Drosophila melanogaster: one gene and its partners. The protein of the gene in region 1 purifies or fractionates together with the protein of each later gene. This does not show direct contact. Each region holds a gene or a part of one and is shown on either strand. Other genes may lie near its edges.

Region 1 (3,211 bases):
CCTCTCTTCACGCTGGGAGGGCACAAGGGCGGCATCACACAACTGCGCTATGGAGAGTTTGGCAACGGGGAGTGGCATCTGTTCAGTGGAGCTCGCAAGTGCGATAAGATCTTGCAGTGGGACATGCGCAACTACAAGCAGCCACTGGTGGAGTTGCAGCGCCATGTGGACACCAATCAGCGTATTCAATTCGACCTCGCATCCGACAGCAATTGGCTGGCTAGCGGTGACACACGGGGATTCGTCAATGTTTGGGATCTCAAAAAATACGGAGATCCTTCCGTACTGCCCCTGCATTCAGACTGCTGCAACGGAGTGGCACTCAATCCGGCTATGCCGATTCTAGCCACCAGCTCGGGGCAGTTCCACTTTACAGACCAAAGTGCCCAAGGGGACAACGTGACCTTAAACGGAACGGAAACGACGGAGTTGCCGGCGCCGGCCGATGTGAATCAAAATCAGAAGGAAGTTCTCTACGAGAACGCAGTGGTCATGTGGTGGTGCGGCCAAACGGGATAGCATATAAAACTGGTGTAGTCGAGTAAATAATACAAAATCCGTCTTTATTCTTGAATCCATTTGGAAATACTAAAGCATCATGACCGGGTCCATACTGGTTGCCTTCACCTGCAAAGGATTTGCGAGAGTAAGTTGGCGTCGACTCAATGGCGATGGCTGTTAGGTGGAACACTTACCTAGAACCGTTTGAGGAACTCCTCGGCGCAGGTGCGTGCCCTGGCATTGACCGCCAGTTTCATTTCGCTGATCTCCTTGTCGATCTCCTCCATGAAGCTAATGACAAAGTCCACCAGTTTGTGCTTATACATCTGCTCCGTGTGGAAGTTGGTGATGAGGAAGCTTATGTCGTAGCCCTCGATGGGCTTGCGGCGCAGTATGACGAACGACTCGGCGCGTCGCATCATGAACCTGGTGAACTTGTGGCACAGTATGCGCTCAATCTCGTCGGCCTGCTTCACGGCGATGCTCACGCGCACCGAGTTAATGGACGGCTCGATCAGCACCTTCTCCCGCTCGTTGCGCGACACGACGACGGGCGTGAGCACCAGCTCCTTGCTGGAACAGATCTCCACCTCCGGCTTGTTGTGCCGCTCCACCACCTGCGAGGGGAAGTCCTGCAGGCACATCGCCGCCGTCAGCGAGTGTCGCACGGCGGTCAGGTAGGGCTTCAATGTGGCTGCCATTGTGTCTGGGTGTCGGGTTGTTGTCTGCTGCCTGCGGTTTGTTGTATCTGCACTTTTTACTTAACTTATTATGATTCACAGGCCCTGGAATTTATCAACCAGAAAAGATGTGACCATGCGCGGCTGGCAGGAAAATACCAATGCCGAGGTGGGGCCGCAAAAACATAGCAACTATTTGGAATTTGTTATGAAACAGTTTCTATTATATGTTTGGGAAGACTATGCATAAAGTTTATACAATCAATATTAAACATGTTGTTTTTAAACATTTATCAAATCGCACTTAAAACATTTCTTATGATGTCCTGTGTTAAGATGGTAAGAAACTTGACTATCAAGAACTTACCCGAGACCACAACCACTGTTCCATTTCCATTTGTATCTTATCTTTGTGGAATTTTTAGGAGTGAAACAATTTAAATCATACCTAAATTTTAAAAATTTAAGAAAAATGTATATGGCTAGAAGCGTTAAAATTTGAAATGGAAATATCAAATATATGTGTACCATATTAAAGTCCGAAAACCCAACACACCAGCAAAGAGGAAAAATGTTAATTTAGAAGAAAACAGCATCCACCAATTATAAATATTGCATTTATTTGTTTAATGCACTTTTATTATACAATTGTTATAAGTATTTTTGCTCGCATATGGTCAGTTATTTGTGGCTTATATGAACTTAAATTATGCGTGAACCTAGAAAGTGAGTATTTTAATCAATCGTTCAAAATTGTAACCCTTTCCTACTCTCAATACTCAAAAAATGTTTCGGCTGATTATTGCATTGGATTAGACATTAATATATCATAAATTGAGTAAATATCAAAGCATTTTATGCTTTGCGTTTATATTTTGTTCGTTTTTTCTTGAGTATGCTTGAAAGTTTTCGTGTCTGGGTAATTTGGTGTCCTGTGCGTGTTAAATTGTTTTGCCAATGCACATTTTTATTAAGAGATTTATGTTATTGATATTCATTTGTAGAAGCCATAGGTTTACACGAGTACACATACATATATAACGATATAAGATTTAAATTTAAGCTAATCTTTAAAGCGCCCTTTGGTGCAAAATTAAAAATAACTCGCAGGTTTTTGGAAAAAATTTTCCTAAATATTCCATTTGGTTTGCCCTAAATACTTTTTTTTTTTTTTATTATAACCCCCACATTCACTCTCCTCTTAAACCCATTTCTAAAAATAACCCGACGTTAGACAAAATATGCATTTCCATATAATATTACACACATTAATGTATGCTTATACGTAGTTTCCTTCCATTTATATTAATGTCTATATCAGCGTTTTTAGTGTTTGTGTTGTATGTAAATAAAGGAAAAATGCGTTTCGTGTGTTTTACATGGTATTTGATTTTATTGAATTGTATAAGCATTTCTTATGTATTTTTTCTGTTAGACATTTATTTTATAGATAGAAAATGCGAAACTTATAAGAACAAATTATTTGTTAGTGTAAAACTATATTCAGCATGTATATGTATCATGTTGTTGCAAGTTAGTAAATTAAAATTACCACTAAAGTATACATTAACTTAATTAAAAACATTTTCAAATTTTTACTCGCGAAAGCCATTCATAGATGCAAATACAGCGTGCTTATTATTTTGAGAATACCTCAGTCGATGCCACAGTAATTAAAAAAAAAAAAAAACTTGAACATTCAAGACTAAGACTTTGAAAATAATGAATCCAAAACGAATATAACATTCTTGGAACTCAAGGTAAAAAGTGTTTTAAACTTTCAACTGAAATCAACGTGAACTTTTAAAAGAATTTGAAATTTTAAATGACAGGCATGCATTCAACTTGCATAGGCTTTTCTGCCTGGGCTTTTAAGTTTAAATGTAGATTTCCTTTACTAATTTTTTTTTTGCATTAACTTGCCGTAAGCATTCATTTCTTTTCGCTTTATAGTAGCTTATTCGTGTTTCATTATAGAGCTCGTGAGAAAACTCGCTCAGCGGTATCTTGAGACTTTGCCCTTGCCCTTC
Region 2 (4,233 bases), on another chromosome or scaffold:
ATTTGTGTCTACGGTGCGGTGGCCTCCATATCCGCTGTGATGTACATGAAATGGAAGATGGAGGATCGGGTGAAATCCGCAGAGTACTACAAACTGGCCTTGAAGGCACTGCGGAGCCATCGAGGAGCAGTTGGTCTCCTGGGTGAACCCATCAAGGACTCTGGCATCGATCTGTCCAACGCCAACAACAATTGCAATGCGGAGGAGGCGCGTTGTGAGGTGGCTGTGCGGGGCAGCAAGGATAAAGGTAGATCCATCGATTTTGAAAGCAAATCTTTGGCGTTTACCAACCTTATATTTGCAGGAACTTTATACTTTTGGGCGTCCAATCAGCCGGATAGAGGCTGGCTGATCGATCGACTGGAGCTGGAAACAAAACTCAACCCAGAGAAACGATTTTTGCTTAAAAAATCCGAGGAACTAACCTTCGATCTGCCCGAGAGTATAACCAAACAAACTGCCCAGCAAGTTGATTCCAATGTCATTCTATCCGCATCGGATCAACAACCAGAAACACATTCAAAGTGAAGACAATCCGAATGTCCGATTCAATTAGTTTATTCTCTTTAAATTTGACTAATTCAAGCAATCTTAAATGTTTTATAGTTATGTTATTTTAATTACAAATTTATTGTTTTTATAAAATCAAAGTCTTTAGTTATTGTTTGTCAATGGAGAGCTGGCAAAAATGATCAGTGGTTTAGCATAGTTATTATTCATGCTCATACTAGGTGGTTGGTTTGTGAACAATCGGGAAAGCGAAAAACTTGAATGAGTGCTCCTAATGATACCACTTAAAATAGTCGAGAGTCGGCTGGTTGGTCTTCAAAGACACGAAGAATTGACTGGCTCATCGAGAGCGCAGATCTCGAGCTTGATTCGTTTAAAATTAGAATAATACATAGGTCAGAGGACATGATAAAATCCGCGTTTAATGCTCTTCTTAAACGATAAAGGCGACAATTGGTGGCGATCGTGACGTAGACGAGGCGGCAGTGCATCGTTCACCGTCAGGCTAAAGTCATCCAAATCCTTGCAATCAAATCGTCTCCGATCGTACTCGATATATGTGTAGTTATGTTTACGCACTTTCGTCGTTGTATAACACAGTATAAATACAGGCCGTATATATATATATAAGTAGGTATATGTTCGTATGTATATAGCCAATTACAGACATTTGCTTTTTCGGCAGGCACCTGCACCTGGCCGCCCTCGTTTCTCGTATTCCTGCTACTTCGTTTCGGATGCTGTGGTGTTAATGCTGGTGATCGGTTCCTATGCTCGCTTGGCCATGGCAAGTGGAAGACTATTGGGCCGCTTTGTCGACTGTGTCCGCTCCTCTTCCGCTTGCACCTCCTGGTCTTATTGCGTCTTCAGTTCCTTGCCAATGCTGTACGAGACGATTTTGCTCCAGTCGATCTTGGTCCTGGTGATGGGCAACTGGCGACGCATTGCCTTGAATGTCGTGTCCGACATCGTCTGATAGTTCTCCGAAATGGCCAGCTGGTACTCATTCTCGGCGTCCTCGATCAGACGGATCACCTCCTTGGCCACCTGCTGCTCGTTGCTGACCACCACGCTTTCGCGGCACTCCTTTGAGGACACCAGCTGGACGTTGCCGTCCTCGTAGTAATGCACCTGCACCTTGAGCACACCCTTCAGTTCGGCGGTTCCGCTGCCCGCCTGGAAGGTCACATGCCACTGGGAGCGCCATCGGCCATTCCAATAGTTCTTCGGCTGGAACTGGTGGTCTTCGATGCAAATGGTCAGGGTGATCTGGTTGCCCTGCGCCTTTCCAAAAACAGAGCTGACCTGTAGAGAAAATGTTACGGGTTATTGTAAGCAATAGAGCGTTTTTCATTCAACTTACCCCGTGTCTATAATGACTGGCAGTGTAGGCGAGCGTCTCCAGGTCGAGGGCCGCCCTCCAGGGCTCCGCAGTGGCATCTGCCTCTACGTCCTGGTAGTCGGAAGCCTCTTTTCGGAGGTGGTCGTATTTGAAGGCTTGCTTTGTGCGCGGGTCGTAGAAGCGACCGTTTCCTGGAATGCAATTGCTTATCAGTGTGGGGCTCAAGATATCGACCGAAAGCCAAACAATGTGTGTAGGTGACTCATATGGCAGGCTTTGTCCATTTAAGGGCATTGATGGAACTGAACTCACCCAGATCGTTGTGTTCCGATATGATGGCGTTATGATCGGTGCCCTCGATGCGAACCGGAGTCAGCTGGTCCTTGTTGTATTGGGCGAAGGCGTGGCTAGCCCCATCCTTTAGCAGAGTGTCATTCTTGAGGAGCTCCCGCACATCGTTGAACACTTCGTTGAACTCGCCGGGCGGCGCATGTAGGATGAAGTCCGATACGATGCGCACCTTCTCCGCATCGGTGATCGGTGTCTGCTCCATAGTTCCACTGGTGATTCACGAAATCGGGGCTGGGCGGTTGTTTGGTTTGGTCTGGTTTCCCCTCCGGTTCCTAGGGTTCTACCTTTCGACGGGATCTTCTTGTGGAGTGGTTGGAAGTTGCGGTGTCGCTGGAACTCTTCCTTGACCGTTTTTTCGGCGCTGCAATCTTTTTTCTCCGCAATTAATGGGCCAAGACGATGACGATTCGATTCACTTTTTTTTCCACTCTTTGCTAGGGATGGGAAATATTTGTGTACCTGTACCGGATGCGATTCACCGTATTTTACGGGCAGTCTACACTGCTCCATAATCCGACGGGTGAATGGCAAAAGTCTTGGCGCGTTACTTGAATTGCAATAAAAAAACTTTTAACGATGTAGAATGTAATACATTATAGAAATAGTTCCTCGAGACCAATAAATATCATTGCCTGTTCAAAACCAAACTCAATCAGAACTTTTTTAAAGCAAATTATGTTATTGTTGTACATGGTAGCTAGTTTTGGTTATTAAATATTTTTCAGTTATATAAGTATTAAAGTATTGATCAACTCGTTTAAAATTAACCTGTTTGTTTGTGAAAAATAGTTGTTAATAATTCTATTTGAAAGCCCAAGCTGGGCCATTTTTATCTTCCAGCTTCCATTTTTAAAGAAATATTTGTTATATTAAATCCAGTGTAATTGATTCACATCAACGTATTTATCGAGAAGTGTAGACAGTATATAGTATCGATAAAACGAAAACATCGAGATTATTAACCGTTAATTATCGATGACCGAGGAATCGACGGTGTCTCACATCTCTAACGCCGCCCGTTGTTTTTGTTGCATTGTGTTTTTGCTTTTGAATTGAGCGGTTGTCTCGCGCGTCGATCGCAGTTTCAAAATCGGTGTGGCTCCGCAGCTTCGTTGTAAGTCGACAATAAAAGCGATCGAAGTGAAAGAAAATACGTTTTGCGATCTTTTTATTTAAAATAATTCGCCAGAAAGTACAAGTTCACAACGAAATACCATCGAAAAGTGCCTTTTTACCAAAAGTCGTTGGTAACACACATACCAACGCAGCGAACCGAACCACACGCACACAAATGCGCGCGCTTGGCGGTGTGCGTGTAACCACTTTTTTACCTGGTCTTACCTGTTTGCGGTGCGAAAGAGAGGAGGCAACAGAAACGGAGAAAGAGAGTGCCCAAGCGGACGAGTGAAAGATAAAAGTGAACGAAAATATCAGCCAGAGCAGCTGCACCGAAATCGGAATAAGTCAGTTAACAATCAGGGCGCGCACTGTACGAGTTCGATTCGATTGATAATTATTGAGCGGTTGCCATGAAAATGCAGTCCAAACAAACGGTACACTGAGAGAAACGAAACAAGAAGAAGAGTGCAAATAGAATAGAATAAAAAAGAAGTGGAAGTAGAAGTGGGCAACACAAACAAAAGTAAAAGGTGTGTGAGTGAAATAATACTGGGTGATTCACGAAGAAGTGCTCAAAAGTGTTGCGGTTGAAAAAAAGAGAGTCTGCGATGGCGGATCGCCGCTAGAGAGTATGTCCACCAGTGTCCAGCGAATGTCCAGAAGCTACCACTGCATCAATATGTCGGCGACCCCGCAGGCCGGCCACCTAAATCCCGCCCAGCAACAGACGCACCAGCAGCACAAGCGAAAATGCCGCGACCTTGGCAGGCGACTAATCCCCGCGAGACTCCTCCTGGGCGTTATCGTGGCCATCAGCCTTCTGTCACCCGCCCTCGCACTTCACTCGCCGCCGGACAAAAACTTTTCCGGCGACAATCGTAAGCCCGCCTTCAAAAACTGCGCCGGATACG
Region 3 (7,624 bases), about 14 Mb from region 1:
TAATAAGCTAGAAAATAAAGTGTATTCGAGCGTCTGCAGCTAGCTAGAGATTAAAAGAGTGTCCCTTTTTTTATTTTACATTGCAGTTTGATTTTCTCGTTTTTATTAATTCCGATTGCTGTATCAAAGGTTTGTTAATATTTGCAGTACGTTTTTAAATGCGCTTTCTACACATACAGGCTAATTGCGGGGATGAATCCTCCATTGCGACTATATAACAAGTTGGTGGCATCCCTTAGTCGTGTTGCTCGCTTTGACATGGTAGTTTTAGTTCTCATGTTGCACTTAAGTCTACGTTTATTTGTTTAAAATGCGGCTCAGCTGTGGCGCTGACTCGGCCTATGACTGTAACAAATTGGCGGAGACACGGATTTGACGATGACTCGACACAAACACACACAATTCATTTACTAACGCGTAACTATTAATTCTTTGATCATTATTTTGCTGAGCTTACATTTAGCCTTACGGTTCTGTTTGGAATACTTGGGTTTGTCTTGCAATCTGGTTTAGTTTATGTTGGATTCACCATTCGGATATCGAATTTTAATACACAATTTATTTTTTGTATTTATATAAAAACAACTAAATATACTGAACACATCAATCGATGCGCTTGAAAGTTCTCCCCCTGCAAAAAGAACACGAGTTAGTAATCAGAATTCGTTATGGAAAGTCCAATGCTCACGTTATAGTTTTCTTCTCCGTGTTTTTGGGCTCTGGCCTTGCACGATTTAGCACCTTGAGGAAATCCGAGGTTTTTGCTCGCATGCGCGAATGAATGTAAGCCTTTGAACACTGCTCAAAAATGCATATTTCAAATATATAAAAGATATTTTTGCATAGCTGCATACAACACTTACCTTAATGTGGTAGTGCAAGTAATCTCGGAACATGTGAATTAAGTTAATGGTATTGTCCCTTGTTTCTTTGTTGGTATGCCGAGGGAAGAGTACTGCAAAAAACAAGTATGAGTCGTTACTATTTTGTTTCTTTTGGATATTTCAAAGTGTAACATCGGTTCAATTCTAAGAAGTACTGTACACAAACACAAGTCATCTGCGATAATATGATTGATTATTCAGGATGCCGTTCGTCTACTTATTTAATATTGGAGCATTAGAGACACAAATTGAAGGAAGGTATACAAAATATGCCACTTTAACTCCATTGGGATTACATTAGCTGTGCACTGTGCACCAAAGAAATCATCCAAGGAAATATAAGACTGCTTCGGATGATTCGATCGAATATATTGATTTTGGAGCATTGTAGACACGAAAACGATAATATTGTTAACATGTAAACTTTGTCTCCATTTAAAAAAGGCAGTCTAAGATATTCTTTTACTGTACACAAACACAAGTCATCTGCTATAATATGATTGATTATTCAGGATGCCGATTGTCTATTTATTTAATATTGGAGCTTTAGAGACACAGATTTAGGGTAAGTATTAAAAATATGCCACTTTAACTCCATATGGAATATACTGACATTTTTGTAACGAAAGAAATCATCCAAGGAAATATAAGACTGCTTTGGATAATTGGATCGGATATTGATTTCGGAGCATTGTAGACATAAAAACGATAATACTGTTAAAATGTAAACTTTGTCTCCACTGAACAATTCAGCTTGGGGATTCTGGGTTGGTGTGTTACTGTACACAAACACAAGTCATCTGCTATAATATGATTGATTATTCAGGATGCCGTTCGCATATCTTGTTGATATTGGAGCATTTGAGACACAATTCAAATTGTAATTTAAAACATGCCACTTTGACTCCACAGGTGACTTTAATGCATTATTGTGCGCGGAAGTATTTATCATTGGATATATTTATAAACTAGAATGTTCAAGATGATTTTAACGATACTATTTATATGGAGCCTTGTAGACATGGAAAAGACAAATGCACTTTAACGTGTAAACTTTGGCTCCACAGCACATGGTTTACCATTCAACCTTTAACATACCGAATGTGACATAGCCAATGTTGTCGCCCACCCTAGCGTCCGTGTTGGCCAATTCCAATGGTGGTTCTCGGTGCGAAAAGAGCACTTGTGGTGCGGTGTGCGAGGCACGCCGACCTTCCCTCAATTCCTGCATAAATACTTTGCCGATAATGACATCGTCTTCGTCCCGGAAAATGGTACTAAAGACGACGGTGACACGATCAGGCTTGGCTTCCACATATCTGCAAATCGATTGTAGATTGTCAGCGCTTGGACGAGTCAAAAACATATTTTTCTGACTTACAAAGTCTCATCGTTGCGGTAGTTAATGACGGCACGCTTTTGGCCCTCTTCGCCCTGCTCCTGATAGTCAAAATACTTTTCAAAAACCGATGCGAAACAGTTGCGCTTCAGCAGTCCGATTCTCTTTGCGATTTGCTCGCAGTCCTCGGGAATCTCCTCCAGGTTGATAAGTACGGAAACATTGTAGCCTGCAATTAGACGAGAGTAATTAACTTCTTTAAATGCCGAACTTAAACACGAACGTACCTTCTTCCGTGTCTGTAAGCAGACTGCCATATTCACGCTTCAGCAACTCGTCGGCTCCATGTTCTTGCAGCTGTTTGTAGAACTTCAGCGATATGCTGATCTGTTTCGCAGCCCAAGAAAAGTGAGAAATCGTTAATGTTGGATTTATCCTAAATGAATAGTACGCGGTACACTTACCCGAACTTTTGTTTTATCGCCATTCACATTGGAAATGTGATAAAGGACGCCGTCGAAGTCTGCTATTCGTATGTCTATCGATTCAGGCTTCAGTCTGGAAAGAGAATTAAAAAGTAAATTCTCATTTATTTTCTTGCTTATTAGTCATGCTCCCCACACTCCACCGTATCTTATCACATAAACTCGTTTATACCCGATTATTTTTCCAAAAGAAACCAGCAGCAATAAAATTATATTTTGCGTTTTCGAATAAATTAAAACATCCGTATGTATTTGTATCTGGATCGCTAAGCCGATATCTAAATTTAGTTTAATTCAATTACAAGAACTAAACAAATATTTCTGAATAATGTACACGAACTCAAGTCATCTATTGTGATATGTAGGATCAAACAGGATGCCGTTCGTTTGTATAATTAGTATCGGAGCATTAGAGACACAAATTGGATAAAAGTTCCAAGGCATGCCACTTTGGCTCCTAAATCGTACTTTGCGATCTTAAAGCGATTGTGCGCGAACTCAAGTCATCTGATGTAATATTATTAATTACTCAGGATGCCGTTCGCCAACCAAGTTGATTTGGGAGTGTTTGAGACACAGGCAGGTTTATATATCCCGAGAATGCCACTTTACCTCCACGACATACATATCTATAAATATGTGCACGAATTAAATGCATCCACAGCAAAAATATTGAATGCCAAGGATGATTTAAACGAACATTTGCTCTTGGAGCATTGTAGACACGAAAAAGATCTTATCCTTAGCATGTAAACTTTGTCTCCGAAGACGGGAGTCTTATAAAGGAATGTAAAGCTATCAGGAGCTATTGTAGGCGAACACAAGTCATCTGTTATAATATGCATAATTATTCAGGATGCCGTTCGCCTTTGCATTTGATATTGGAGCATTTGAGACACAAATAAAAATGGATTAAGTGTGCCACTTTGACTCCAATCCATTTTCATATGAACAACGAATGTATTGTGAACGAATGTATTTATCTATGGAAATATAATTATATCCAAGATGATTTAGACGTTCAATTAATATTGGAGCATTGTAGACACGGAAAAGAAAAATACTTTAGCATGTAAACTTTTTCTCCATATGACTATTGAAGCATTTTGAAGTTGTGCACGAACACAAGTCGTCTGTCTTAATATAAGTAATTAAACAGGATGCCGTTCGCTTATAAAATTGATATTGGAGCGATAGAGACACAGATCAAAGGAAAGCTATAAAATATGCCACTTTAACTCCACCCAAATATTTAATTAGTTGTTGTGCAGTTGGCAACCATCTTAGGCAATAAAATAAATCGAATAAGACGATTTAAACGAACAATTTATTTTGGAGCATTGTAGACACGAAAAAGAAGCCACATCATCTTCAACATGTAAACTTTGTCTCCCGAGGCATTATTGGTCTAATAAATCGAATACTATTGTAGTCGAACACAAGTCATCTGCTATAATATGATTGATTATTCAGGATGCCGTTCGTCCTTTCGTTTGATATTGGAGCATTTGAGACACAAGTTACAGGAAGATCGTAAGACGTGCCACTTTGACTCCAGAATATTACAAAAGTTGAACATTTTATGGCAAATGTACACGAACACAAGTCATCTGTTATAATATGATTGATTATTCAGGATGCCGTTCGTCTTTCTAGTTAATGTTGGAGCTTTTGAGACACAGATCAAATATTGTTTTTGAAGAATGCCACTTTGGCTCCAAAGCCTAAAATTTGCAATAATGTACACGAAAGTATTTATCTTAAGAAACAAAAAGAATTACTCAAGATGATTTAAGCGTTACAATTTATATCGGAGCGTTGTAGACACGGAAAATGGAGAATCTTTAGCATGTAAACTTTGTCTCCCAAGAATACAGATAATAGGGGAGTAATATTGAAACTATTAGTTTTTATGTACACGAACACAAGTCATCTGCTATAATATGATTGATTATTCAGGATGCCGTTCGTCCTTTTGGTTTATTTTGGAACATTTGAGACACAACAGGAGATTTTTTCCAAGTATGCCACTTTTGTTCCACAATTTATAACTTTTATTGCCTTAATTTCAGGCATTACACTGCAATCTTATCGGGAATAAACTAATGGCATCATAACTATTAGCATTTAAATACATTTATTTATGTGAGATCTTAATCATTCGCTACCAAACACAAATACCTCTTTCTGCTGATAGTGCTGTTAGTACAATAAGTTATTTTACTAATTTTAATAATTTTGTTAGTCTGTAAGCTTCGTCTAAGCTTCTTCTAAACCGTTTAGCTTAAACATATTTCTTTCGTAACACGACTCCTTTGATAATGTTTCTTCAATAATAATATCCTTTTTCGGGATTAGGAACAAATAAATACTAATATTTTCGATCATCACAAGCGTATGCGTTTGAATGCACGTCAATGGATGAGTCAGTTTTGCAGATTTTCAGCACCGATGATGCGAATAGCGAGTTGTAATGAATTAACTAATACGCTGTCGACGTAAGGGGGCTGCACTGTACTTGGGTACGTGTGTGGGAGGGAGAGAGCTGCAGCGATGAGTGTTCCAAGGCTGGAACTACACCCAAATTTATTCCCGAGGAAAGAGAGAGCTAACGAAATTGATAACAAAGCCGACTGGTGATAACAGAACGGTGGGGAATGCAGCATAGAAATCAAAATGGTGGAATGGAAATTGGGGAAACGGGACTGGAAGGCATTGACTTACCCAGCCTGGGCATTACGGTATTTGACCAGCAGCGTCTCCTCGATAATCCGATTATTGATTTCCAGCAGGATCATGGCGGTTGAAGTTAACTGTTATTTTTAGTGTGCCAATTTCGATGACAAATTATATGACGTTGACTGCCGCTAATGGTGCTGCTGCTCGCTGCTTCTTCTTCTGCCGCTCCCTGCGCTCTTTCTGCGCTCCGTTGAGTGCGAGTAAGACGGTGCGCTGCTCCAACTCACCAATACTGGTGCATGACGGGCGTATTAATGAATCAACAACAAAAAATGGGCGCTGATGTCGGCTTTTTTGGTCCGTCACACACACATGGACGCACTCTCGCCACACACACGGGCGAATTCCAATGCTCACACACACAGTTGCAAGAAAATCCACCTTATCCTCTTTTCGCGCCTCCAATTTCCAATCGCCAGTACTTGCAGCGCGCACGATGCAGTGCAAAATCGGTCTCAGACCGTAATACTTATAAAATTATAACAAAACGTGGATGGAAAACGGGGAGCACGCTGCCGTATTTTCCTTGCTCACAGCGTTGCCAGGTAGCACAATAGAGATGGGGCAAACTCACCGATGGAAAGATTGAAGTATCGAGCTATCGACCATCAATGTTATCAGGTTACACAGAAATTCAAACCAGCAGATTTTAACAAACATAAAGAGAATTTTCTTTAAAATATATAAAATAGAATATATTTTAAACGAAATTCGTACACACGAACTTTAAATTATAAATATGTATTAAGACATTTTAAGACAAACACACAAATATTTTATTTAACATTGTTATAATAACGGTGCTATAAAACTAAGAGGCACATTTTTTTAACAGAATAATCTGGCAGCCCTTTTTGTGCGATGACCCATCGCCTATCGACTATCAATATTTCCCGCCAGGCTGCCGGATCGTTCAGAATAAATAAAAACAAATAATAGCGAAAATCAATGGACGACGATGAGCTGATTAAATTGATAGAGAGACACCCGATCCTGTACGACAAGGACTGCGCGAGGAGCGTGAAGAATGCGGCGCAAAAGGACGCGGCCTGGAAGGCCATCTCCCAGAAGTTAGGAGCCTCGGAACGGGCGTGCATTACGCGCTGGAAGAGCATTCGCGATCGTTTCGGCAAGGAGTTTCGCCGTTTCCAGGAGCGTCCGGATGAGCCCACCTACTGGGACATGTTTCCGCGACTGCTCTTTCTCAAGGATCACTACAAACAGGGACTGGCAAGGAACGAGAGTCTCGACGGGATGCGTTTTGAGCCCAGGGAGCGGAAAAAGCGCACAAAAGTGGACATGGAGCAGGAGAGGCGGAGAAAGGACGAGGAGGAGGAGGACTCCCAGGATGACCTGCTGAACGAGCAGCTCATTGAGCTGGTCAAGTCTCATCCCGTGCTGTATGATCGTCACAAGATCAGAGTCTCCAAGAACCTAGCAGCGAAAAACGAAGCCTGGCGAGAGATTTCTGAAAACCTAAATGTGTCGGGTGAGCTCGGGGTAACCCTCTTGATCTTCAGCCCTTAATGCCGATAATTTTCAATAGAGGAACTTTGCTACAACCGCTGGAAGAAGCTGCGTGATCGTTTCGGGCGGGAGTTCCGCAGTCATCAGATCAACCAGTCCACGCCCATCACGTGGAGGTACTTTAACGACCTTCTCTTTCTGGGCCGCCACTTCCGCAAAGGAGTGCCCCTGGTTTTGGAGAACATCAAGCGACGTGGACGACCACCCAAAGCAGGAAATCCTTCGGGAAAGACCAGCAAACAGCCGGAGGGAATGGTGATCTCCAGTGGTGAGCAAATCTGGGGCGCTGATTACCCCTACAGTACGGACAACGACGATCTGGAGGATGATCTTGAGTTGGCCTACGATGAAGAGATTGAGATACTATCGGAGGCGGAGCAAGCAACGCCGTACGATTTTATCCTCAGCGAAGCGACGGCACGGCAGGACTTGGAGCCACCACAGCAGCTCCAGGTGACCACCACCACGCCGGCCACCAGTGAGGAAATAATTCACACAATCGCCAGGGTAAATCCCGTCGTAGAGGAGTCCTCCTCTCTCCCTGGGGACTCTGTACCGTCTGCCGCCATCTCCGACAAACTGTTGACCACCGTGATTGCCAACATGGAGACCGTGCTTCAGCAATCCCGGGAGCTGCAGGCCCAGATTCA

Evidence for each region.
Region 2: the proteins of Arpc4 (region 1) and cpa purify together in Drosophila melanogaster (affinity purification with mass spectrometry, with the first as the bait; one large-scale study listed by BioGRID). This does not show direct contact.
Region 3: the proteins of Arpc4 (region 1) and Arpc2 purify together in Drosophila melanogaster (affinity purification with mass spectrometry, with the first as the bait; one large-scale study listed by BioGRID). This does not show direct contact.

Annotation. Positions count from the first base shown.
Region 1 is NT_033779.5:6,123,240-6,126,450, reverse strand, and holds Arpc4 (Actin-related protein 2/3 complex, subunit 4), read right to left. Parts: upstream 1,320-3,211; 5' UTR 1,203-1,319; coding exon 696-1,202; intron 628-695; 3' UTR 540-627; downstream 1-539. Other genes in the region: WDR79 (WD repeat domain 79), read left to right, coding at 1-519.
Region 2 is NT_033778.4:21,056,194-21,060,426, reverse strand, and holds cpa (capping protein alpha), read right to left. Parts: upstream 2,641-4,233; 5' UTR 2,406-2,640; coding exon 2,165-2,405; intron 2,044-2,164; coding exon 1,874-2,043; intron 1,816-1,873; coding exon 1,366-1,815; 3' UTR 544-1,365; downstream 1-543. Other genes in the region: CG15653 (uncharacterized protein), read left to right, coding at 1-247, 305-528; shg (shotgun), read left to right, coding at 3,954-4,233. UniProt on the Drosophila melanogaster protein: F-actin-capping proteins bind in a Ca(2+)-independent manner to the fast growing ends of actin filaments (barbed end) thereby blocking the exchange of subunits at these ends.
Region 3 is NT_033779.5:20,415,476-20,423,099, reverse strand, and holds Arpc2 (Actin-related protein 2/3 complex, subunit 2), read right to left. Parts: upstream 6,044-7,624; 5' UTR 5,507-6,043; coding exon 5,433-5,506; intron 4,753-5,432; exon of another isoform or gene 4,619-4,752; intron 4,578-4,618; exon of another isoform or gene 4,446-4,577; intron 4,431-4,445; exon of another isoform or gene 4,296-4,430; intron 4,267-4,295; exon of another isoform or gene 4,133-4,266; intron 4,104-4,132; exon of another isoform or gene 3,967-4,103; intron 3,956-3,966; exon of another isoform or gene 3,819-3,955; intron 3,798-3,818; exon of another isoform or gene 3,670-3,797; intron 3,645-3,669; exon of another isoform or gene 3,515-3,644; intron 3,475-3,514; exon of another isoform or gene 3,344-3,474; intron 3,327-3,343; exon of another isoform or gene 3,192-3,326; intron 3,169-3,191; exon of another isoform or gene 3,035-3,168; intron 2,782-3,034; coding exon 2,688-2,781; intron 2,611-2,687; coding exon 2,511-2,610; intron 2,453-2,510; coding exon 2,266-2,452; intron 2,204-2,265; coding exon 1,983-2,203; intron 1,950-1,982; exon of another isoform or gene 1,826-1,949; intron 1,797-1,825; exon of another isoform or gene 1,662-1,796; intron 1,626-1,661; exon of another isoform or gene 1,500-1,625; intron 1,484-1,499; and 13 more. Other genes in the region: CG10949 (uncharacterized protein), read left to right, coding at 6,396-6,936, 6,994-7,624. UniProt on the Drosophila melanogaster protein: Functions as actin-binding component of the Arp2/3 complex which is involved in regulation of actin polymerization and together with an activating nucleation-promoting factor (NPF) mediates the formation of branched actin networks.